2 linked regions of the Lytechinus pictus genome follow. The protein of the gene in region 1 interacts with the protein of each later gene in a pairwise test. Links are inferred from orthologs where the notes say so. Each region holds a gene or a part of one and is shown on either strand. Other genes may lie near its edges. The genes, in order: survival motor neuron protein-like and ribonuclease P protein subunit p20-like.

Region 1 (13,562 bases):
TATTAACAATTTGAGTGTCATAATGAGTTAAGACCTTGGATGTGTACTATTGGGGATTTGGGCCCCGATTGGCTCTCCATAGTTAAACCACAACTTTAAACCAGGGTTTAATTTAAACCCGAGTTCAGAATATGGGCCTTAGGGTTTATATTTCCTTGGTTTACAAGCTGTCGGTCTACTTCTCAGATAGTCTAATACCACTTGAGCTAAATCCAATGGGTATCATTTTGGTCTAATTGCCATTTGGTCTACACTCCACATGGTCTAACAAATACTAGTCTAATCATCATGTATTCTAATGCTTATAAATATAAACTAATTTCATCTAGGCCTACTAATTATTTTGCAATTTGTCAAGTAAAAGTTTGATTCTCAGATAGTTATCTAAATCATATAGACTGAGTGGTTTTATACTTACTTGAAATTAGATGAAATAGGTCTAATTGGAAATTAGGCAAATGGTAAATGGTCTTATTAGCAATTAGACCACATAATTATTGATGAACTAGGATTAGACTGTGTGGGATGAGAGTAATGGAAAGCAGACACAGCAGGTCTAGACCAAGTTGCAATTTAGCAATATTAAGTGCATGATTTTCTTTATGTTTGACCTCTTTTCTTGCCTTGCCTATCCCCCCCCCCCTCCTTTCCCTTTCAGGCTGAGAATCTCCACACCCCCTCGCAAGACAAAGGCTGCAGCCAAGGACCCCAGGCCAAGCAAAAGACGTCGCGTGGAAGACGAATCCAGCATCACCCAGAGCGCCACCAACAATGGTGTCGTGGCCATCGTAGAGAGCGACCCTGAAGGAAAATTTGTGAAGCTACAAAATAACTCTGAAACGGTAAGTCCTCAGGGATATGCAGTTTCTTATCGCTGGGTTCATTGGCATGCATACTCATTGTCTCTCATCCCCGTGTGAACTTGTAATCATAAGTCAGTAGAGTTTTATTCTTCTTTAGGATACACTTTTTCAAGTTTTTCAAATTTCGGGCAGGTTGACTGTCTGGTTTTATGACAGAAGACCGACAGTCAACCTGCCTAAAATGTCACGTCTTCTCATCTGTTCCTGCTCTTCATCTCCACTCGCCGATTCAAGCCAGTCTCCTAGTCAAGCCTTTCGTCTTGCCGTCTAATCAAGCTTTTCTACTCTTTCTGGTTTACAGTGCTTTTAAGGACTGCACTTATCTCTATCTACTTTCTCTTAGTCCTTGCCAGTATTTTACACATGGTTTACCATAAACCACTTCCACGTTTGTTCATACCACCTTCCAAACCTTCAAACATCTACTATTATCATTTCCATCTTAATCAACTATTGATTTATCCCCTTTTATTTCATTGCCTCTCCAGGACCAAGCATTGGGCGGCTGGCACTTGAAGCGCAGTGCCGACGGTGGCAGCGAACAATCCTACAAGTTCACCAGCAAGTACGTCCTGAAGGCCGGCCAGGAGGTGACTGTCTGGGCCTCCGGCAGTGGCAAGTCCCAAAGCGCACCCACAGACCTGGTCTTCAAGAACACAGAGTCTTGGGGCACCGGGGACAATGTGGAAACCACTCTGGTTGATGCTTCTGGGGAGGTAAGTGTTGCCAATTTGGAAAGTTCTGAAATGGCATGGAGACATACTCTGCACTTTTTCTCAGACCTCATGTGATATACTAAGGGAGTGTTGCAATAAACATTTGCAGTCAATCGCAAATTCACAAGTGATAAACCACTTTTGCTTAAAGGAAATTGGTTTATACTTGTTGTTTATGCAAGAAAAAACCAAATTTGCAATTAATTATGAGAATTGTGATTGATTTTGGCATCTAAAATGTACTTGAAATTGAATGTAAGATTCTTGTAATGTCCAGTAAGTGAAATAGTGATCAGACCGATCAAAACAAATCCTTTGGCAAAGCTTACTCAGCCTCTGGAAAGTGTTTTGCCAGGGAAAAGAGAGATAATGATTTAACCATAAGGCAATATCCAGTGGCATTAAATAATGTCTGCTGGTCATAATTCTTGTTCTACTCTGGATTATTTATATCTGAAGGGTATCAAATTCTCCATGAAAACACAATAATTGGCATTTAAAGACAAAGTTTTGGGAAAGATAGACATTGTGAGCTGTCTAATTCTGTCCATGATGTTTGGGTAGATTATCATGAAAAAATGATCCACTGCAAATGATTACTCTTCAGATGCTCCTACATTCAATGTATAACAAATCAGATCTGAAACTGTCGGGCCGACAATTGAGATGTAGTCCCACACATGCTAATCCGTGTGAGATCTTCAGGAAATTGGGCCAAATGATTCCTATATAGCACCTGAGCACACGTTCCAGTTGTGCGTAATGTCATGTGTAATTTTAATCTTATGAAACATTCACCAGTACCCTGTCCTCCAAAGAGTTGAAAGAGATGAAAATCAAACTCGAATATCGTTTGATTTGAAAATCTCCTAACCACACAAATATAGATCAATTGCAATTTTGAGATTGATTTGATTCTGTCACAACTCTTTGCAAGATGCGACACAGAAGTGATAATCATAAACAACAGATAATTTCAAACACCAGCTGTTATGGTCTCACTCCCTAATCATATATCTTATTGTTTTATTGCAGTTGATGGCAACTCGCACAGTGATAAAGGAAGTCACAACACATGAATACAGAGAGGTACGTGTGCTTTTCTTATCCTCAAATTTCTAGATTAATGATTGATTGAGGCACTGATCTCTATTCATGATGCAGCACCAAAAAATCAACAACAAGAAGTACCACTGTGATTTCAAGTAGAGCTCATTAACAGTGTTTCTTTACAAAAAAACCTACAAGGCCCAAAGCAGGGGTGTGGGGGGGGGGTGGATTCTGCATCCCTCTCCTTCCAACATGTTGCACAGTACGGCCATGCTGGGTCTAAGTAACATAGCTCTGTAAGGGTTAAGGTGGTTTGATTTCAGGTTGTATTCTATGAACGAGTATACTTTTTTCTGTGTACTGCAAACATTTGGGCACGCTAGTCATCCAAATGTGCCTTTTCGGACATGTATGAGACCGATTTCCCATCGTTTTAAAATTATGTGGTATAGTTTTCCTCTCATGAATTGCATTCATGCATTGATACTTGTCGATACCAATGAACAGGATGTGCCTAATTAGAATACCAACTTGGGGGGGGGGGGGGGGTAATTTGAAGACTCTTTCAATGCCATTGTATTATTTATAATCCCCCTTTTGTCACTTTTGCTTGGAAGGGTGTTAGTTGTTCTTTAGACTGGCACAAGTTAATCCCTTGATCTCAAGTTATACTTGAAAAGATGCAGAGAATCCTGTGTAATAATGCATGTGGGAATGCCTGTTTCTTCTAGAATTAGGTACGGTAAACCCATATGATGGTATTTATGTCTTTTCTTTATCATGTTGAAAATTCATGGAAATAGCCCTCGACCCACATGTACCATTTGTGTCCCCATCATGATAGTGACATGGCTTATATTTCTAATTCATAGATATGATTTCTAGATGTATTTTTGTCACCTTGTAAAATTAAGTAAAAGCAAAAAATGAAACATTTATCACAAAAATATAATATATGTTGTACTTTCTTTTTCGATACAGGGTCGAGAAGACAGATGCACCCTAATGTAACGTGTACTGATGAAACTTCGACAGCACTTTTTAATCACTGTAGAATTCAACATTACCACTCGTATCATTATAATCGTCACTTGCGAGGTTTTAACAGTAGTTTTGTACAAATTTTGTGTAGGTATTAAAAAGTTGCAGAGGATGTCCTAGTTTTGCACTTGGTCAACAATCAATCATGTTTAATCAACTAGTAGATGGAAACTTTTAACCAGCTGCTTTTTATACTTCTACTCGTAGCAGAGTGATCATGCCTTAGATGATTCGAATGTTATTTATCCAATGTTAATATTGTAGGAACAATCACAGATGGGTATTTTGGGGGAATTCTGTATAGACCTTACAGCTGAAATTTTATGAACTGTAAGTGTTGAAATGCAATGTATGTCAAAGTTTGTGTTGAAAATCATTAATCTTATATCAGGGGTACACATCCATAATATTGGATGCTCATGTAGCTCTCCGCATTATTACTCTCGTTTTAGCATGGCAGTGATTATGACGCTCATGCATTCCAAAGATAATAATGATAATAACATAGGGTATTTATATTGCGCACATATCCACCTTGTTAGGTGCTCAAGGCGCTCCTATATTACCCGGCTAAGCTAGGCGTTCATAGCGCACACATCTTTTTAAGGAATTACTTAACATTCATATAAAAACTAATGGATCGTTCTCATGCTTGTATCAAGACTTTTAGCATATGTTGTAGAAATCAAATGTCTTTGTGGTACCGATCAACACATGAAAGCTAATTGCAGTAAAAATATTCATGAGAACAATGACATTGTGATTTTACCTTCTTTCCCGTACCATGAAAATCATGAGGAGATAAACAATTTTTTTTTCTTGTCATGCTTAAGTCTTGTCTCAAGTCATTTAGTAGTTGGACTTTGGATTCAGGAAAAAAAGGCTGTATTGCTTGACTTAGATCCCTCACTTTTCAAAATATGATATAATCATGAAAATGCATAAATCTTCAATGATTATTAAATAAGAGAGACCATCTCCATATGTATCTTCAGTGGCATTGCATTCTAGACATCGTGGTTCCATAACGTAAAGCCTAGTGGCTGATTGTATGATTGATTTTTGTGATTAATGGTACATTGAATCAATGCAATCAGTAGTAAAAAACTGTGCTGTGATCAAACACCTTGCTTTGTAATATGGAATACTGGCATTATGTTCATGAAAATTGTTGTCATGTTCCAAATACTACAAACGTAATATCGACCCCAAATATTGTTCTTTATCAAAGGCTGAAATAGGCAGGTTTCTACATGTTTGTGTGTTTGGCATAGTATACTGACAATTTTACTGTACTAGTTCTTTGAAGTGAATTTGAGAGAGAAAAAAAAATTTGGTAACGCCATATTTGCAGACATGAATCATGAATGCTAAGACTTTGAATGAATTAACCATTTGCTATTTCTGAAGCCTTACCTACCAATTTGTGAATTTGTGTTGCGATAGAATATCTGTGTCATTTTTAATGCATAACCATACTGAAATTGCCTGCCGATTTAATTGAAAATCTGTAATTATTCTGCAAAAGATCTACTTAAAACTTGAAATATATGTACACCGCGGCAAAAGAGGAGTTTCTCCTTTTCCCTTGTTAGTCGGTAGTGTGGGGTTTTATTTCTGATTACACTTTCATAATGAATATCAAAATCATTTGAATGTGTATTGAAAGAAATTAAATATCAAACAGTGACATTTTGGAAACTGCAAGTTTTCACAGAGCATGGCTTCTTAAAAGAATGGGTATTTTAATCTTGTTGTTCTGGTGCATTGATCCAAAAATTTGGTTGCAGATTTAAGAAACAGGCTCATGTATTAACAGTGACTTGGACAACTCCAATACAAAACGAAAATGATCTTATCCTTCCTATTTTAAGGTTCAACACCCTCTTCCCTTTGAAGCTCATCAATTTTATTGTAAATTGTATATAGTTGTAGTGATTAATTCTCTTTTTAGTTGTTTTGATAATCAGCATCTTATTTATACACATTTCTTAACTAGTTGATATTACTTTGTTTTAAATCAGATTATCAGTGTTTGTCTACTTATATTTGTTAAGTTTAAAATTGTTGGAGAATGTAATCTATGGAACTTATTCTTTGATGCTTCTTGGGATAGCAGTATGAACATTATCAGAAACAACTAAATTCCAACTATGATAATCAAACTTTGTTCGTCATTGGTATATTTTTCATTGACATCTTCTGTTATGTAGGAGTATATTCATGTAAGTTGCTGTTTGAAATAATTATTCTTGGTCGTCATATTATGGAGAATATATTTTGATAATCAGTTAGATGTCTGGTTTTGTGACTAAAATACTTGTGCAAGATTTGTTAAAGAACTATGTGTATTCAGTGAATATTTTATTGCAGTATACTCCTTAACATTTCTTTGTTGGCATTAGTGGTGAGCACTTGAAAATTAAAGGAACAAAAAATGATCATCAAATTTGACACTTTACTATATTCCTAAAATATATGTTCTAATTAAAATTATGTATTTCACTTGCCTTTTTGACACAGTATGACTGGATATAGGGGTTAGACAGTAGGTTATCTGCTGTAAAACAGCTAAGTGCATAATGAAAATGCTATGAAAGTAGTCTATATATAGGTTTTCACTTTCAGTTTTTATATGTTTTCTTATGTAAATAGTAGCAGTTTTAAATTAGAAGTAACCATATGTAGTCTGATTATGTTATATTCTTGTTTTTAGTACTTTTTGTGTAAATATTAGTGAATGTGAGAGACATAAGTCAGGTTTTTTTTAGTCACTTAAATACCACTTATGATTGATATATTTGCTTCTAGTTATTGTCAGCTAGGTGCTTTTATAGATTTTTATGCATCTATGTGGAGAAAGAAAAAAAAATGCATGCAACCCAAGTACATAAGCATATGATAAGAAATAAGTTATGACAGCAATCATTTTAAAAGGCATCTGAAATGTTATGAAGTGAGCTTCTATTCTGGTTTGACTCTTAAGAAGGAAATCAACATTTGTGCGTTGAAAAAATCTCACTTTGTAGATGAAGCCATGTGTATCAGAATGGTTTGTCTTAATATTTCAGATGGCTCAAATCCTAAATTTGTCTTATTTGTTAATTGCACATGTGTGACGCAAACATTACCATATCCTTCACTTAAAGTGATCATCATGCACTGACTTTCTTTTCTTCTGAATAAAAATAAAAATATAACCCAGTTTGTAATTCCAGGATTTGTACATTTAATGTCAATTGTCTTAAATTGTTGGTAAACATTTGCTTCTTCATAAACTGTACTTGAGAACATACCACAATAACTTGACTGTCTCAGGTTTTAAGTGAAAATGTCAAATTTTTGTTTGAATAATATTTACCTGGAACTTTGTGGACTGAAATGCTTCTTGTCTTGCACCTCAAACTTGATTCATTGCTGTCGATTATCAGGGTTTGTCAAATTTTCAATAAAGAACCAGAACTGTAGTAATCAATTTCAAAGAATTATTTATTTTGTATGTTGATTGTATGAATTTACTCCCTTCATTTTACAAATTATAATTAACAGAAGTTGGGGATACAGCAAAGCACTGGATTATAAACTGGCTGATAAACACTTTGTGCTGATACCAATAGGAATTAATATGGCCTCTTTTCCAACTTTTTAAAAAAGTACATGTATGTCTAGCCACACTCTCACTATAAGACAAGTAATAACATGAATAAACATCAGTCATGTATAAAGCAAAATAAGAATTTGAAATAATCTTATAAATTTGACATGCAAAAAAAATTAATTACTTCATGGTATTTACACATCAGAAATTCTACCCCATCCAAAAGTGTCATCACACAGATACGCTCAGAGCATACTGATGGGGAGGGGCATTTGTCCCCCCCCCCCAAAAAAAAAAAAAAAGAATCCATGATGGAGAATATAAAAAAATCACTAGTACGGTACTAAGAAATGAAAGGGTAAAATGTGAAATTATATGAGGAATATCTTATACGAAACAATGTCTCGCAGTTGCCAACCTGATCAAGAACATTTCAGTATTTTGGTAAGAAAATTCGGCAACCATAGTTTCAAAGCAGACTCTTGGCGGCAAATATCTGCTTATTTGCTTAACAAAAAATGCCCTGGCTCTGAGCTTCACTGAACAGTGAAGAAAAATTCATGCAGTTTTGTTGTTGATAGATACCCAACTCCCACATACAATAAAATAAATACATAAATAGAAAAATAAATATTAATTAAGTAATGAATAAATATAGACCCTATATTTAGAATGGTCAGGGAGAGGAGTGGGGCGAGGGCCGGGCATGCGTTTAGTAAAATTTTGTAGGAAGTTGTAAACTTTCAGAGGAAATAAATGCAATTAAAAGTTGTTACAAGTTAGGAATAAATGGCATTCAACTTCTAAACATAAATAAAGTCGCACAGTATACAAACTGTACAAACGCTACTACGGTGTCCTTGAAACTCGCTGATTCCTATATATGAAGCTTGAAAACGAGGCGCGCGTGAAACGATCCGAGCGACATCATCATGGCTGAACGTTCTGGCGACGTGGTTTTCAGAGTTGATCAGGTAGGAAAGTCTGCTTGGATGTTTAGAAATAAAATAACACCTTTGGCTTTAAGAATGAATTTCTGATCATGCACATAAACTTATTTATTAGTGCAATTTGGTTTGCCGCGGTGTGTGTACTGGCTATGTTTCGGAAGTCAATGAAGTTGAAATCAAACTTATTTTAGCCCCACATATTGAAATATGGGTGGTGTTCAAAAAAAAATTTGAATCAAGTTTTTCAGTTTTCCTTACCCCTTTTTTCATACCCTTTTTTCTTCTCTTGGGACTTCCCCTTTGCTTTTCAAGGCCGAGTTTCATCTCCCATCATAAATTCACTCCGTATTTTCCTGAAAAGACCTCCCACTCCCCCCTATCTTTGCCTTTGGTAGGGAGTTCAGTGAAAATGCCACTTTCAAGTTTCAGAATTTGTATCTGTCTGTGCTTCCATGACATGACACTCTAGGCAACACCGCAATACTTACCCGTGTTAATAAACTGGGACTCCACTCACGCGCATTTGGGCCGCCCTAGCTTAGAACTAAAGTTTATTATCAAGAAATTGTTAAACTATACATGTATAGCCTATAGGGCCTACTGATAAAATATATTTCATTAAATAGCTTGATACTGTTTGATCGGTATGATTGATGGGGTGTCCAAATTTCGCGCACTTTTCAAAAATATTCATCAGGCTTAATTTTGTTCACAAAATATTCATAATTTATACAAAACCAATTCAAGAAATAGTTACCACATTGACGGCAAGATCGTGAACTATAAAATCATGGACGAAAATGTAAAGACTAAAGTAGGTCAAGGGGTTTCGCCGGTATCGCGATCTCAAAATTCTATTCCGATCGGCGAATGCGGGCTGTGCTGGAAAACCGTTCAGAAAAGTGTGACCTAACTTCGCGCACCAACGCTTTTGTGGAGATTTAAACAAAAACTCAAGTTCAAAAAGTGAAAAATTAAATCAGATTGATGGCAAAATGCTATGGAATCGGTTAGTACCACATTTAACTCACATTTTTGATGATTTCTGCTTGCAAAATGGTGATATCGTGATGCTTGTGATTTCTTCAAAACGGGCGCTAGCGGTGACAAATTTGCCGATCTTTTGCCAATATTTTCATGAATACTGAACTCATCCTAAAGAAATTTTCATTATACGGTAATTTTAGGTCGCTTTTCACGTTGATGATGTCAGATTTTAAGGATATTGGCTAGTTTTTTAGATAAGGACCGTCCGCGAAGTATGGACACGCGCGAAGTTTGGACACACTGCCATACTCACCGGTTCTTTTGTTGCATTTTCAGCCCAATTCTCACAATTCTTGGGAAATATTCGCGACAAATCTTGTCGCCATAGACAGCTACATGTCCATCTTTATTTATAAATAGAGCGCCCTTTACGATAGTTGTTAATGCCGCGGAGAAATCGTTAGGCATTTTGGCCTGTGTTCATGGCGTAGCTGTTCTATTTTTTTTTTTATACTATAGTATACTTTATAGGTATGAGATCGAAATCACAGCGAGTATTTACACTCTTCCATAATGATTCCGAAAGGGAGGCGCAACACCCCCCACCCACATGGGCGCAAATTCCAGGGGGACATGTCCCCCTCACCTAGAATAGTAGGGGGCACATTATGAAATGTCATCCCCCTAGGCCCTACTATTTTTGGTCTTTTCATTCAAAATCGAAATAAAATATGTATTTTGGAAGAGACGATCTTACTTTTGGGGTGCCCTTTTTTTTGCTTGTTTGCTTATCAAATTTCTTTTGGTCAAGATGACCTTCTTTTTGGGGTGATAAACCTTCTTTTTTGTTTTTGTTTGTTTGTTTTTTTCTTGTCAAATTTTCCAGCCCCTCGTCCCGGCTACCTTTGGGGAGAGATTTCCGCCCTTGCCTAACAGTACACTTGATATTGTTTGCGAATCTGCGTGGGCGTCGGGGGCTGGGGGATGAGGAAAAGCGGTGAGACGAGAAAAAAAAATAGAAGGAAAAAGGGGACAGAAAAAAAGTGAACGAAAGAAAAATTAATGGAAAATAAAAGGGAGGAGAAAATAGTGAGAAAAGTGATGGGTAGGTCGAGATTTTATGTGTCCGTGCAAAAAGAAATGAGCAGAGGTTGAGATGTTGTCTGTTTAGGCAAATGTCTGTCTGTTTGTTGGACTGGCGCCTGTTGCAAAAATTATTAAGCTGATGGAATCAGAAAGTTCCAACTGCTTCATGTCATACCGACAGTGACAGGATTAAGCGGTTGTAGGTATAAATCACGCTCTAAAACTGTGTTCTTTATTAAAAAGTTGTCCTTCATATTCATTTTCGCAAAAGAATATCAAGTTTTCAATTAATTGTCTATAGTTATCCTGTTTATGATAAAAATACTTAGAAATTGGGTTAGGTTTAGGGTTATCAAATTATCGGGGCAGAAAAAATATTTTTTCAGTTTGCGCGTCGATTTTTAATGACATTCATTCTATTCACAGCAATATATTATTAAACATAGCCGCATGAATTATAGATAGGTCTATAGTTATCAGGTGAATAATTTACCGCTACACACTGATCATGCGGATACTGTTTTGTAAAGGGGAATTTCACCTTGATAAAAAGATTGTGAAAATATAGGCCAAAGAAAAATAATTTCAAAACATCGGTGAAGGTGTTATTAAAAAAAAATGGAGTTAGTAGAATTTCGAATGCTTGATTTGTGACGTCATAAACGAGCAGTTGCTCAATATTCTATGTAATATAAAATGCAAAAATTTCCCATTTTTAATGGTCCGTAATGACCCACTTTTTTCTTTTTGGAGAGAGTATGAAGTTATCTATTGATATACTGAATGTACAATAAAAGTCATTATCACGTATTTCTTGACATTTCATTTACTTTTTACCATAATTATATCCGATATAGCTGCTCGCAAAGGCCTACGCCGTCACAAATAATTATTTAAAAAATCTCACCTTTAATTTTTTTTTGGTGGGGGATGGATTTTTCCTGAAAGCATACCAATTTTTCAAATTATTTTTTCTGCTATTTTCATAATTAACTTTAAATAAATTCACCTATGCACTACTTAATTTTTTCAAAGACAAAATAACAAAATTACATCTAGTCTTCATCATCACCATCATCACCAACTTCATTCTCATCATCATCACCACTACCACCATCATTATCATCATCATCATCATCATCATCATCATCACCGCCACCATCACCACCACCATCATCATCACCAAGATAATTTTCATCATCATCATCTTTCTTTTTTTTTCTTTTTTTCCCCCTTCCCTTCTTCTTTTTTTCCTTCCTATTTTCCTCCCTTTTTAGAGGGGCACACCACCGAATAAATATGTTTGTTGTTGTTGTATATAAGTTGGCGGATGCCTCATGAAATGAAATAAAAGAGAAAATAAGGAAATGGAAAAAGTAAGAAGAAGGATAAGAAGAAAAAAAGAAAGCCAAACAGACAAGACAAAATAATATCAAAATTTCGTAATAAAGTCAGTCAGTTTAATAATTATGTTTTCAATGAAATGAGACATAAAAGAACTGAAACAAGTAAAAAGGGCTACATCATAGTTAAAAGAAATAGAGGGAAGCTCCGAGACAATAAAAAGTGTTAAAAAAATCAGAAAAGACTTTGAAACACTCTGAACACGAGTATAATATAAAAAAAAATTTGGAATAAGCGAGGACAAGTAGCTGAGGGACCCCCCCCCCCTCTCTCTAGTTATTTACTCAAACTCGCATATACAAGAGAAGAAATTCTTACTAATCAAAATATTGCGAGCAAAAAGCATGAGCTTACATTTTTTTAAATATTCAAAACTGATAGAGAGACACATTTTGAACAATTCATGAAACATAATAATCATTCATTATAGCTACCAATCGGATTGCGACAAGATCTGAGAATTAGAAATTCATTAAAAGCATAAAATTGTATAACATTAAAATAAGACGGGCGCAACGCATGAGCTAAAGCTTTATATACCAATTAAAATTGTGGACATTTTTAGCGCTTTCGGTAGTCATGAAAAAGATTCATATTTCATGAAAGCTCAAATCCCGAGGAGGAATATTTTTTATTAATTGACTTAAAAAAGGCTGTTCTAATTAAGCCCCATTTAATATTTGATTACAAGTCTCGTTAAACAGTAAAAGAGGAAAAAATAAAGCATATTGTGTTCCTCAATTCTCTTTCTCTTTAACCCTATTTTTATTTTATTTATTTTTTTTTTGGGGGGGGGAGGTATTTTGGTTAAAAAAAAAGAGAAAAAACGATAATTGCTGGCTAGTGGGTGTATAGTGGTAGGGACACCCCGCCCCCACCCCCCGTAGTTACGCAAACATGGGACCAAATGATCCTACTTGTTCCAAGGCGAAACTTGTGCAATCAATTAAATGTTATTTTTGAGAAAATTAAAGCTTGCGCTGTTTAAATTCAATCTCTTTCACCTAAATTTGCGATGAATGCTAGCATTATGAAATATATAATTATCAACGTCTGGCGAAAAGAATAACCAACCGATCAGCTGACGAGAACGCGTATCACGTGATCTGCATATCAGCTTCGATCGCGAGTCAGAAGTGAAGAGCAACTGGCAATAAAATCTGGAAAAAGTCGTCAAAATGTAAGTTCCCCTTCATTTCTTTCAATTTTTTTTTATTGCTAACAATGCTTTAACTTTCTTAAACAAAAATTTAATGAACAGACAGTACGATAGCTCGTACTTATGTTATAATACACAAATAATCATCTTCACAAAGATTTCTGACACAAAATACTACAGATGTCGCCTATGAGGTCCATACATGTAATGTTTGGACCTCATTGGTACTAGGAGTGTGACATGACATGTATAAAACAAATACGAAGCCATTAAAGGAGGAGGAAAAACCCTATAGAAACCTATACCATGAGAAACTTTGAAGTTTTATGAATAAAATGATGTATAATTCAAGGGCATGCCTTGCCCCGCATAGCAGCGCATTGCACTTTGAAAAAAAGTATTACACAGTACCATTCATTGCATTTTGTGTAAGTTATGAAAATCTACTTTTTGCTGTAAAAAAAATCTGCACATTCTCCCGTTTAAACAGAAATATCTCTGTCAATATTTGACATCATGAGTTGATTTATGCACCATTCTTTTTCTTATTTCACAGGCTTTCCAATGGTACCAAATTTGTTGGGATTTCTTCAAGATTTCAAAAAGCAACTGTCTCCCCCACTCAAACGAGCCTTTAATATTTTTTTTGACAGAACAAAATCTGCATATTTTCCCCTGTAAATTGGAATATCTCCATCAATATATCAG
Region 2 (11,438 bases), on another chromosome or scaffold:
TGTCATAACTTAGTTATTCCTTGTCCGATTTTGATCAAATATGCCAATAATACATTTCGGGATACACGAGCGACCAACTCACGTTTGGTGGCGTATCTCTTTTCAGTATAATGGACATTATCAAATCCTCTAATGAGCAATCTCATTTCATCTTTTAAAAGACATGGTTTCTTTAAAAAAAAATCGCGAATACCAGTTAACGGGGAAAATGCTCTTCAATCAAAAGTATTTGCATATACATTTCAGAAAACTTTGGCGGCAATTACGGGTTTTGTTGACGAGTTGTCCCAAGTCCTGACCCCTATAATTAATTTTATAGCAAAGTCCCCCAGGAACATCATGCATTTAAAAAAAGTATCAAGTTACAGTATCATCTTAAAAGGCAAAAAAGTGTGAACAAAAACTGTGAACTTTTAAATTACGATGGGCTGTAAAAATGCAAAAATACGGATAACTGTAGAAAAAATTCTAATCCCACAATTTTAACATGAAAATCGCCGTTAATTTAGAAATACGAACACTATTTAAACGATAGATGCACTGCAATCAACGTAAAAAAAAACGATCACTGCATAAATACGTTTTGTTTGTTAAATCATTGTGTCGTCTGTTTTTTAAAAGGCAAATATCCTGTAAATTTACGCTTTTTCTTTGTAAAATTACTAATATTTTTAACAGTGTGGAAGATTCTAAGAAATGAATTAGTTGATGTTCACCATTTTTTTCTTGGTCGGTCACATAATTATTCACGAACACATCGATTAGCTTGACTTACCCTTTTGAAAGTGTAACAATATTATTAATATAACTTTAGATCATTCAATGACTGTTGTGATTCCTGACTATGGTTGATTTCTGAATCCTTGCATAGTATTTTTTTTTCATAAGTTTGACTGAGGTAAAAATAAAATAAAATAAAACGTTTGTGGTAGAGATTTTCTATATTTCATCTTAGAAATATGAATGTGTGATCATCTAAATTGGCCTTGCTTCGTGTCCGAAATAATCTTGCGTACATCCCACCCTATCTTCTATGTGTTCATAATTTTACATTGCATCTTTGTTTTCTTCAATTCACTCATTATGTTATTGATGCATTTTATTGTTCACAGGACCCAAAATGGTTCTGTATTTAATCATCTGGGTCTTTTAACTCTCTCTCTCTCTTTCTTTCTTTCGTGAGGTTCACATTATTCAAGCTGTATATGCTTTTGAGTGAATCTCCCATTTCCACAGATGCCCCCTTTTTATTATGTAATATAAATTGTCTACAGAATATAAGATTATGTATCATTAATTTTATGTCGTTGGATATGATGTATACATGACACTGATTCGAACTGTAAACTTTTTTGTATAAATGTATGAAAATATTTTGTATTATACTTTATGTTCTGTTTGAAATAAAACTGAATTTGAAATTTGACAAATTGAAATGTAATAATTCTTATAACAAAATGTAGGTTGATCGAATAAGACAGTTCCTGCACCATTCGAATGACTACGCGAATACGGCGATTTTCCCCATATCCTTAATAATTACATCAATGCACATCCTTTGACATTATATATTTGATAGTGTTTTTCTCGATGAGAAAATAAATGAATTAATCTTGGAATTTCACTTGTTCACGCGCCGAACCACTCAGCCTGGTTTGATGGACACTGTTTGATTGATTTGAATAACGCCCCCTATTGGTCATGGGTATCTCATCATCACCATCAAATCCCGAATCTGTTTATTCCCCCTTATAATTTTGATGTCAATTCAAATTACTGTATAACAGTGGGGGGGGGTGGGTTCATTTGAAAAGGGATATTGAATTACATGTACCTTATTTTTTGTTTTATATGTAAATAAAGAAGACCAGAAATGGTTTAAAGATATAAAAAAATCCCGAATTTGATGGGCCTCATCCACAGAGGAGCTTATTTTATCCACCTGTATATGGTCAGATCCTGCATTAACATGTAAAGACCCCGTTAATTACTGGTTGAAATGTCCTATTTCTCATGTTGCTCACTAATTATGTTGTTTTTTATTATTAATCGTGAGTGCTTGGGGGGAATCTTTACTAACTCTCTCTTGCCATGTCCCTTTTCTCTTTTTTCTACTATCTTGATTTAACTGGTTATGCTCACCCACAAAGAAAAGACGATTTCTCAAGTCTTGTTAAGTAAAACAAAATGGAAAAAAATACGATATAAAGACACCACAACAACTATGGAAAGCCAGCAACGTCAAAATCTGAAATGCATGGGTTTTTTCCAAAATATTTTCTAGATATGAATTCATATATTTATCATTTTCTTGAAATTCAGTGAGCTTCTCTTCTTTACAGTTTATATACCTATTATATATAATTCCTGCAGGAAAAAATATGACATTGATGGATCTCCATACAGTTGATATTAAAAATTTTAATCGGATCAATCGCAATTCTTTGTAAGACGGGCCCAGTTGTCCTATTTTAATCCTCACGCACTGGGGAGGACTGGGGAGGGGGTGTCACATAATATTTGTGTACAACTTTCGGCCAAAAGTGGGGCCTACCCACGGCTACCCACTTGATACGGTAAATTTGAACTATTGTCTTATCAAAGGATATGTGATGACAGTTCTCTTCATAATTGATTTAGGCCCACACATTTAAAGGCGCGGCTAAGAATATTTTTGTGTTACATCACCTTACTCTATAACCCAATTCGCCTACGAAAAATACCCATGATGAATCCTTTCTTGTTTTTTGAATTGGCAGAGACCTTGCTGCACAAATTGTATTCAAGTTGCTGAAATTAAGTGATGCTACTCAAACTAACTTACAATATAAACATAACACGAAAAATTAAATTGCTGCTAAGTAAAATGACATAAGGATTTCAGACAAACGTCTTGGTCAGATTCAGAATGTTCCTAAAATTACTTTTCCATTCTGTTTTTTTTAATGAGATTTTGAAATAAATGGAAATATCTGCCTTAGTAATAGTATATTACACAAGAAAAGGGTTTTTAAAAGTGAGTATGAAAAACAAGTTCACATCCCGGGGACAGTGCTTGATTTACAGTGTAGTGTGAAAAAAGAGAGATTGTCTAGATCTAGACTTTGCAGTATTATAGCTACCGTACCTGTAAATTAAATATGGCAGCGCCCACTGGTGAAATTCACGTGAAGCTTGAATTCAGGTAATATCACTAATTTTAAGGCAAAATATTTAAACAATGGTTGTGATTATGTTTTTTATTTTATTTCCGGTTTATTTGGAATCATATCGGCGTGTAAATCGAGTGGAAATGTGTATATATTTGCCTATTTGAAATTTGAACACGGTTTCCGTTCTATCGGCATCGCATCGCCATCGGACCGGTGCCCCGGTGGCGGTGCCCGGTGGCGGTACCGTACGGTACGTAGCCGTGGGGTTACGGCAGATCTCCGGTAGACTATATTCATGACTACCTCGAGCGAAGTTCGTGCAGGCTCCACTCCACTTCTCACTACCGCTAGGCGCTACACTACACTCCACCTACCCGAATTTCGGGTAGGCATGGTTGATGGTAGACCAAAAGCTTCGGTCTCTGTTATGTTGGTTGTTCAGCTGAACTCCGTTGGAACTCCGTTGGCTTCACTCACCAAATACAGAGACCGAAGTTCTAGCGCGATCTGTACAGGGGACTCAATGGCCATATGTTTATGTACTTAAGATCGGATAAAACGGGGAAGTGAATTTGCGCGACAGCCGAGGTAAGTCACTGTTTTTGTTCCTTTTAACTCGATTTTTCTCCGTTTCTTGGCAATTAATGCCAAGAGGGAATATCAATTTGCATTTTGGTCGCATTAATTTTCAAAATTTTTATTGATTAAAGACAAAAATTGAAGAGCCCCGACGGGGGGATTTTGCATTGCAAGTCCCCTAATGGTGGCTGCACGCTAGCGAGCTGTCTGTGTATGAGGAGAACTTAAAAAAAAAATGTTAAAAAACTCCTCAAAACAGACGGCTGCCAGCTGTCTAGGTTGATGGTAGGTGGAGTGTAGTGTAGCGGTAGTGGAGTGGAGTGGAGCCTGCACGAACTTCGCTCGAGGTATATTCATGACATTACTTTAGTTAGTATTTAGTATTAGTAATATATAGTAGTTGACTTCTGCAATTTCTGAACGGCCGATTTACCAGAGTCCAGACTCATTGACTCAACTTCTGGCTTCTGCAGTGATACCTGCCGATCTCCGAACAGCGGGAGAACTGAAACAAGGGAGGGAGAGAGGTCTGCGTTATGCGTCACGCCGCGCCTCTGCCCGGGCGAAGTGTCGTTTTTCATTTATTAATTTATATTATTAGAGTCCTCTAGAGTCTGCGGCGACCGCTGCCAATCTCGATCTGGATGCTTACGATGCAGGACCCACTAGCCAGGAGGTCTAGACCCAGAGAGTAAAAATCATTCGCTAACGTGTGCTTACTCTCCACAGAGCCAGGGATTGCGCCCCATCTATTTACGTGTACTGGGAAAAAAACTGAAATTTTCGCCCCCAAGATTTCTACTTTCCTTCTAAAAGATCTAGCCCTAATGGGATACAACTTTATTTCCGACATTTATACGATATTGATTTCATTTTTAAACAAAATTTCATTAAAAAAAATTATAAAAAGACAGGGAAAACTTGCCGCGATGTTTACGTCGCCATCTTGTTCTTTTTGTTCTTCGCCAAGCTACGAGACGCATATCAGGTGATATCTCTCTTATTTTTTAAGAAATTTTCAGTGTTAATTTTTCTTTTCTTATCTTTTATCATAACAAATGGACCTTAGGGTTGGTTTCCCTTTTATTTCAAAATCTACGTGTACATGTAGATCTAGACCTACATATATTGATTATTTTTTTGTATATTGATTATTTTTTTAATGATATCATCCTTACAGTGGTGGAGCAGAGTTATTATTTGACAAGATCAAGCATCATGATGCTGTTTTGAACTGCAGTCACAACAAATGTAAGTTCTGTTAGAATATAAGAATAAATTTTAGAATATTTGCTCCTACTACAACATATTTAAATCTAGCAATGGCAGATCATAGAGCTAATAGCTCTATGGGCAGATCTAGGGGGGGGGGGCACAGCTGGCCCGCCCCCCCACCCCTTTTGAGAGCCATAATCCAAATTTTTAATGTAAACATGCCGTTTTTACCCAAGTGTGTTCCCCCCCCCTTCTTTTTGTCACATTTTCATCAGGAAAGTGCCCTCCCCCCTATTGGAAAACCTTGGATCCGCTCCTGAACTTCATTTTGGTATAGTTTTTTTTTAAATTTATTTTGGGGGATTCATTGTCAATAAATGTCTTTTCTTATACTTGAAAATGGTTGAAGACAGAACATACTGATTTTTATTAAATTGGTATTATACATGTATGTTCCCTTTTGCTTAAGGAAAAAAAAATTATTCTTCATGTTGTCAAATTAGTGTGATTACTTTATTCATAATTGATTTAGGTTACTTATTTCAGGACACACTTTATTTTAAAGATAAAATGGAGAACTATTTTGTTCTAATTTTCTTATTTCTTTTCAAAGGGACAATCAAGACATTGCTGGTTTGGATCAAAGATAACCTTCTGAAAGAGAGACCAGAGTTATTCATCCAAGGAGACACGGTGTAAGCATTTCAATTTTTTTCTATCAACACAAAAAAAAGAAAAGGAGTATAAAACAGATGGACAGGTCTTTTCTTGAGTGTTGTAATATGTGAATTCAAAAAATGTTTACAGTGTATCTTACTTGTAGGTCAGGTGTGTGTTTCATAAAGCTGTTTGTAAGTTAAGAGCAACTTTAAGAACGACTGGTTAACATTTCTTATGCACTAAATAATCACAAAATGGTGAATATCACCACAAGAAAGGATCACCAGTCGTCACTCTTAACCTACTAACAGCTTTATGAAACGGCCCCCTGGTCTGTTTTCAAGTTTACCTTCATTTTAACTTTTGAGACATATTTTTCATTTGTTATGTATCATTTTTGCATAAAGTAAACATGGAAGTGTTCATTTTCTTCAGTCAAACAAGGTTTTTGTATAGTTGGCTATTGAATGTTATAAAGGTAAATATTTTTGTCTGCAGAGTAAATTTCATGCAGCATACTTTGCCGGTAGATGTGGGTTGGGGTATGAAAGCTAGCATTTCTTAACAGGGTTATGTTGATATTGTGTTTCATGTTTTGATTGACAACTGCCTATTCTAATAGTGAAATCTGTAATTTTGTATCATTTCTTTTGAACAGGAGACCTGGTATTCTGGTCCTTGTAAATGATGCTGATTGGGAATTAGTGGTAAGACATTGCTAGACATAGTTGATGATTATGAAATGAATTCTAGATTTACTTCTCACCTAATGATGTCATTCAAACATACATTTTATTCTTTATTATTGATCAGCTTTGAAAACAAGCATGATTTGGTATGTTAATTGGAAGCTGTGTGTGTTTTTCTTTTTAAATACATAATGCCTATAAATAGATGATTTATCACTCATACTTAAAAGGGAACTTACAGTCTTACTGCATTTGGGACAACACATTTTTTTGCAGACTTATTTTACCACCTTTTACTTTTTTGAAAATTGGAAACCTAAGAGTGTGCATTATTTTAGGAAAGTAGTGTTAATTTGTTTATGAAGTGTTATCCTTTCCAAATTTCATAGATTGCACAAACAAAGAAGACACAAAAGACACAATCTTCTTAAAATGAAGCAAAGTATGTGCCTTAGGAAAATCTATGTCAAACCTCTTAAGAGTGTTTGATGTTGATTATTTCTTGTGTACTGCAGTGGTAAGTGATACATTGCGATTTGTAAGTTTATTTTTATCAATAGATATAGTTCTGTTTTGATATTCACAGTACTGTACTGTGTTAACAGGGTCTGTTTTGCTCATGCCATCAACTTAGATTTGATATTTAGAACAGTAATGTATAGAGATATTGCATCATGTAGAAAAGAGAAAAATAAATATGTTATCTAAAATGTCCATAAATCTGATAACCATTTACATTTATCCTTTCTTCTAAGCTGTTATTTTTACCATCCCTTTTATCCAGGGTGAATTAGAGTACGAGATACAAAATAAGGACAAGATTATCTTCATATCAACCCTTCACGGTGGATGAGCTGCCTTTGACAGTTTCACTCGGGAAAATAAAATTGAAAGTTTAACTCAAAATAAGATGGCCTCGGGCGATGCACAGCCGGCTACCCCCCAAGCCCGCCCTCACAAGTCGGCCAAACCGAAGGTCAATCCAGCGGCGGTGAGTATCCGGAAGCGTCAGCCCCGCAGACTTCCGAAGCGCAAGAATGACATCTACGTGACTCGCAAGTCTAACTTTGCCAGCCAGATGGAAAAGTGTGAGAAACTCTTTGACGGGGGAGAGAAAGAGGTGTTCATTCATGGTCTTGGTGCAGCTATCAACAGAGCACTAAACATTGCTCTTCAGTTGGAGTCCCGAAGTCTTGGCACACTCCAGATATCCATCAGCACTTCCACTGTCAACCTGGTGGACGACATCGAACCACTCTGCGATGAAGGGGACTTTGATACGAGGGAGAGAAGCAACTCTGCTGTCCATATTAGAGTGTTTAGGACTGAAAGCAAGAAAATGGATGGGCCAAATAAGTGATGTGACTTATAACCATGGCCAAGGTCTTTTTTGAGAAAGGATGCAGACATTCCGTGGTGATGATAAAGTTGTATGATGAACTAATCTTTTCTCTCCTTTCTCTGGTTTTAGAATTTAAGTTTGTAGCAGTGTCAGTTGACTCACCTTTGGTTTTCACTGAAACGTACATCAGAGCATATTAGATGATGATTTGATCTCATGGGAATTAAAACAGTTAATGGAGGAATAAACCTTTTATTCTTCAAAAATATGAATGTTGGTTTATGGTTATTCCACATGAGAGAAACAATCACCTCATTTTGTGTTTGAAGGAAAACAATTAAACTGAAAGTACAGAATACTCAAACTCTTGGATGAAAAGAAGCATATAAGAAATAATGCCATTATAATTCATGCAATTTTGATTGCAATAGATATTTTGTTTTGTGAAAATTGCTTAAGTTTCTGGTAATTATGTTACCATGGTTAAATCTATGATAGATCACATATTTGCAAGAAAAACAAATTTGCATTCTCTTAAAGTATTGATTATGGAATTATGATTTATGGTAACAGAAAATATTTTTGAGACCTATTTACAATTAAACAAGAGTCATTATTAGGGGCAGTTAGTTTCCATTTGAACAAAAAACAGCCTATTCTATTTCTGAAAACCTGCAATTCCATTTCAACCTTGAAAGAAAATGTAGACGGCAAAAAACTTGAATTCAATTTTGTGAAGGTAAATTCAGTGAATTTTGCATGAAAATTAAATAACTAAAACTAGTTTTCCACTTTTATTTTAATACTGGCAGACAGAAAATCGATGTCTCTAAATTATGTAAATGGGATCAAGTAGTTTTTGCCACACCATGTTTGATATGTGTACATGATTTGTAAAGCTCTCATTAGCTCAAGAGTTCATGCAAAGATTATGACAAAGTTGCAATGAGTTAACCTGTTGACTTTTGTGATTCACATAATCTTTGTATAAGGATTTCAGGATCTTTTAGCACTTGCTTCTAACTTGCAATAGTAAAAGATAAAACAAAACACACAAAACGAAAGCAGTGTAGTTTAGCCATTTTTGTACAGGTACATGTACTTGATTTGAAAATAAAATGAAGTCAAATTTGTTTTTAAAAAAATCATGGGATTATTGGAATAACAAATGCATTTATGTAACTTGATGCTAAAGTGATAGATGATAGGTGGCCCAGTGGATTAGTCTCCAGACTTTGAAACAGAGAGTCATGGGTTGAATCCTAGCCATGTCATACTTTCTTTCAGCAAGAAATTGATCCACAGTGCGCTGCACTCGACCCATGTGAGGTGAATGGGTACCCGGTAAGATAAATTCCTTGAACGCACTGAGCACCTTTAGCAGCTGGAGCTAAATATGGATAGTGCGCCATCAGCTCCTCATAAATGCTATACATTTTTATTATTATAGAAATAAATAACAATACAAAAAAAGAAATGAAACATAACTGTAATAACCATAAGACGTTCAAATCTGAACTAAATAATTATCTTTTTCCCGGTATTGTGTGAATGATATCTGACATATTGTTAGAGTAAAACACCTTTGTCTTGTCACATATAAATGCCACTATAAAACTGTTGTACATAAACATCAGTGTATATTTTCTCTCTTGACATTTTCCCTGTTAGCCATAGGCTACCCAATAGACTCTGGATGAGCCCAAAGACATATCAATATAAAGCTGTTTAATACGTAATAACAAGTGAAGTATTATGGCCCTTCGTCACCCGGCTTATAATATACACCACCTGTGAATATAATTCATACATCAATGTGCACAGGTTAGGAGTGATTCTGTTAACCCTAGTTGTGTGCACTATATAACTCACCGCCTCATTGGTCAGATCATTCTCGAGAATGCGTGTTATTGGTCAATCTACCAATCAAGTTGTGCTTTTAATACTGTATGCATTTTACCACAGGTCTGTGGATAATTGAAAGTAAAATTTTTTCCCATTTCAAATACAGCCCATCAGGAATATATAGCAAAATTAGTTTGTATCTTAGTGTTGATTCTGAGTTTAAAAAAAGGAGAGTTTTTTTATGTCTCCATTCAATTTAACTTTTGTTTTTCATGTTTTTTATCATGATATTATATATTCAGTTTCTTTTTGTTATATGAATCAAATATGATAATGACGAGTTCAACTCTCACATTAGTTTCTAATAAATATTTGGGATATTATTGAAAAAAATATTTCCGCTTTCTACAATCTACAAATATATTTAGTTGGATAAAATTAGTACTTTATCAGAGCTAGTTCAAATGTATGGAAAATGATTGCAGGAAATGTGTAGAATCAGGTCATTAAGCTTGTCTGGCAAGAGATGTTGCTTTCGGTGAATTTGATTATGGTAGATATGATGATGTCATTGCCTCCAACTTGTAAAGTATAGGTAATAGATGGGATTAGAGGAATGGAAAGTCAGAGAGAGAGAGAGAGTGAAAGAGAGGGAGGGGAGAGAGAGCAAGGCTTAGATAAAGTTTTGTGTGAGTTTGGGAAGCACTGAAAGACATTGATAGTTTGAGTCTTTTTTGTTAAGAATAAAATTTTGGTTTCAGATGTCTAAAGAGAGATGGGTGGAAGGGGGGGGGGGGGGGCAGGGTGGGCAAGTGAATTTCTAAATAGTTAGAAAATACTTGCCTGCAAATATATTTAACTTGCCCCAAAAATAATTCAAAACAATGTTTTACCGCTTCAAAAGAAAGTATTGTGGTATATACTATTGTCTTTTTTCCTTTTTTTTTACATGAACTGATGTACCTTGTAATATTGTATTTTTTCTAAGTGATTTTATCTTGACTTTCATGACCAAAATTAGTGTCAATATGCCATTAGATCAATTTCCTCTTATAGATTTTCTTGTACTTTTGTATATGACCATGGCACGGTAAAAAGGGGAATCACTGAAAATAATTAAAGAAAGAAAGAGAGAAAGAAATAGGGAAAAAAGAAAGAAAAGGAAAGGAAGGGAGGATGAACGAATGGGTGAAAGAAAGAATGGAGGAGAGAAAGAAAAAAGAAGAAAAAATGAAAAGAAAGAGAGAAAACAGGATGGAAGAAAAAATGAAGGAAAGAAAAGGTTTCATTCATTATTTGAAATAAAGAAAATGAAAGGAAGGGAGGATGAATGAATGGATGAAAGAATGAAGGAGGGAAAAAATGAATTGAATTGAATTGAATTGAATTGAATTGAATTTATTCAAACCAGTCAAAGGAGATCAAAATACAAACAAAATAAATGGTTACATTATAAAGAACTAAAACAAATGACAGGTTTGGGACCCCAAAGAAGCACAGCTTGTAATCAGGGGCCCCTGCATAATATATTTTACTCAAACATGGAATAACTATGAGAATAAGAAGAAAAAAAAATACAAGGTATTTAAAGATCACAACAGGAACATTACCCACACGCAAGCATACACACACTCACACAGACAAACACACACATTCACACTCCAAACATGTCACCCCCAGGTGCAACTAACAACTGGTCTTAAATTTATCAAGTAGGTATTTATGACATAATTTCTTAAACCGAGACAGGGTACAGCTACTTCTTATATCAGCAGGACACATATTCCATTCTTTAACGCAAATTGTTCTGAAGGATTTCAATGTAGCATTAATTCTAGCATAGGGTTGGTGAATAAGATGTCTCTGACGTGTGTTATAATTATGAATCTTAGAATTAACCACAAAAGTTTCTTGTAAAAAAGAACAATGCAGGGATTGGTATTTATACATGAAAAT

The links.
Region 2: the proteins of survival motor neuron protein-like (region 1) and ribonuclease P protein subunit p20-like interact in binary tests that used the Drosophila melanogaster proteins (3 or more experiments, as listed by UniProt). The link is inferred for Lytechinus pictus from reciprocal best matches to the Drosophila melanogaster genes Smn and Rpp20.

Annotation. Positions count from the first base shown.
Region 1 is NC_087249.1:19,885,402-19,898,963, reverse strand, and holds the start of survival motor neuron protein-like, read left to right. Parts: upstream 1-8,200; coding exon 8,201-8,242; intron 8,243-13,562. Other genes in the region: lamin-B1-like, read left to right, coding at 659-842, 1,352-1,579, 2,615-2,668, 3,611-3,640. UniProt on the Drosophila melanogaster protein: Core component of the survival motor neuron (SMN) complex that plays an essential role in spliceosomal small nuclear ribonucleoprotein (snRNP) assembly in the cytoplasm, is required for pre-mRNA splicing in the nucleus and acts as a chaperone that discriminates target and non-target RNAs of Sm proteins.
Region 2 is NC_087259.1:13,425,054-13,436,491, forward strand, and holds ribonuclease P protein subunit p20-like, read left to right. Parts: upstream 1-7,205; coding exon 7,206-7,655; downstream 7,656-11,438. Other genes in the region: ubiquitin-related modifier 1-like, read left to right, coding at 3,141-3,184, 4,912-4,982, 5,560-5,641, 6,265-6,313, 7,080-7,148. UniProt on the Drosophila melanogaster protein: Component of ribonuclease P, a protein complex that generates mature tRNA molecules by cleaving their 5'-ends. Also a component of RNase MRP complex, which cleaves pre-rRNA sequences.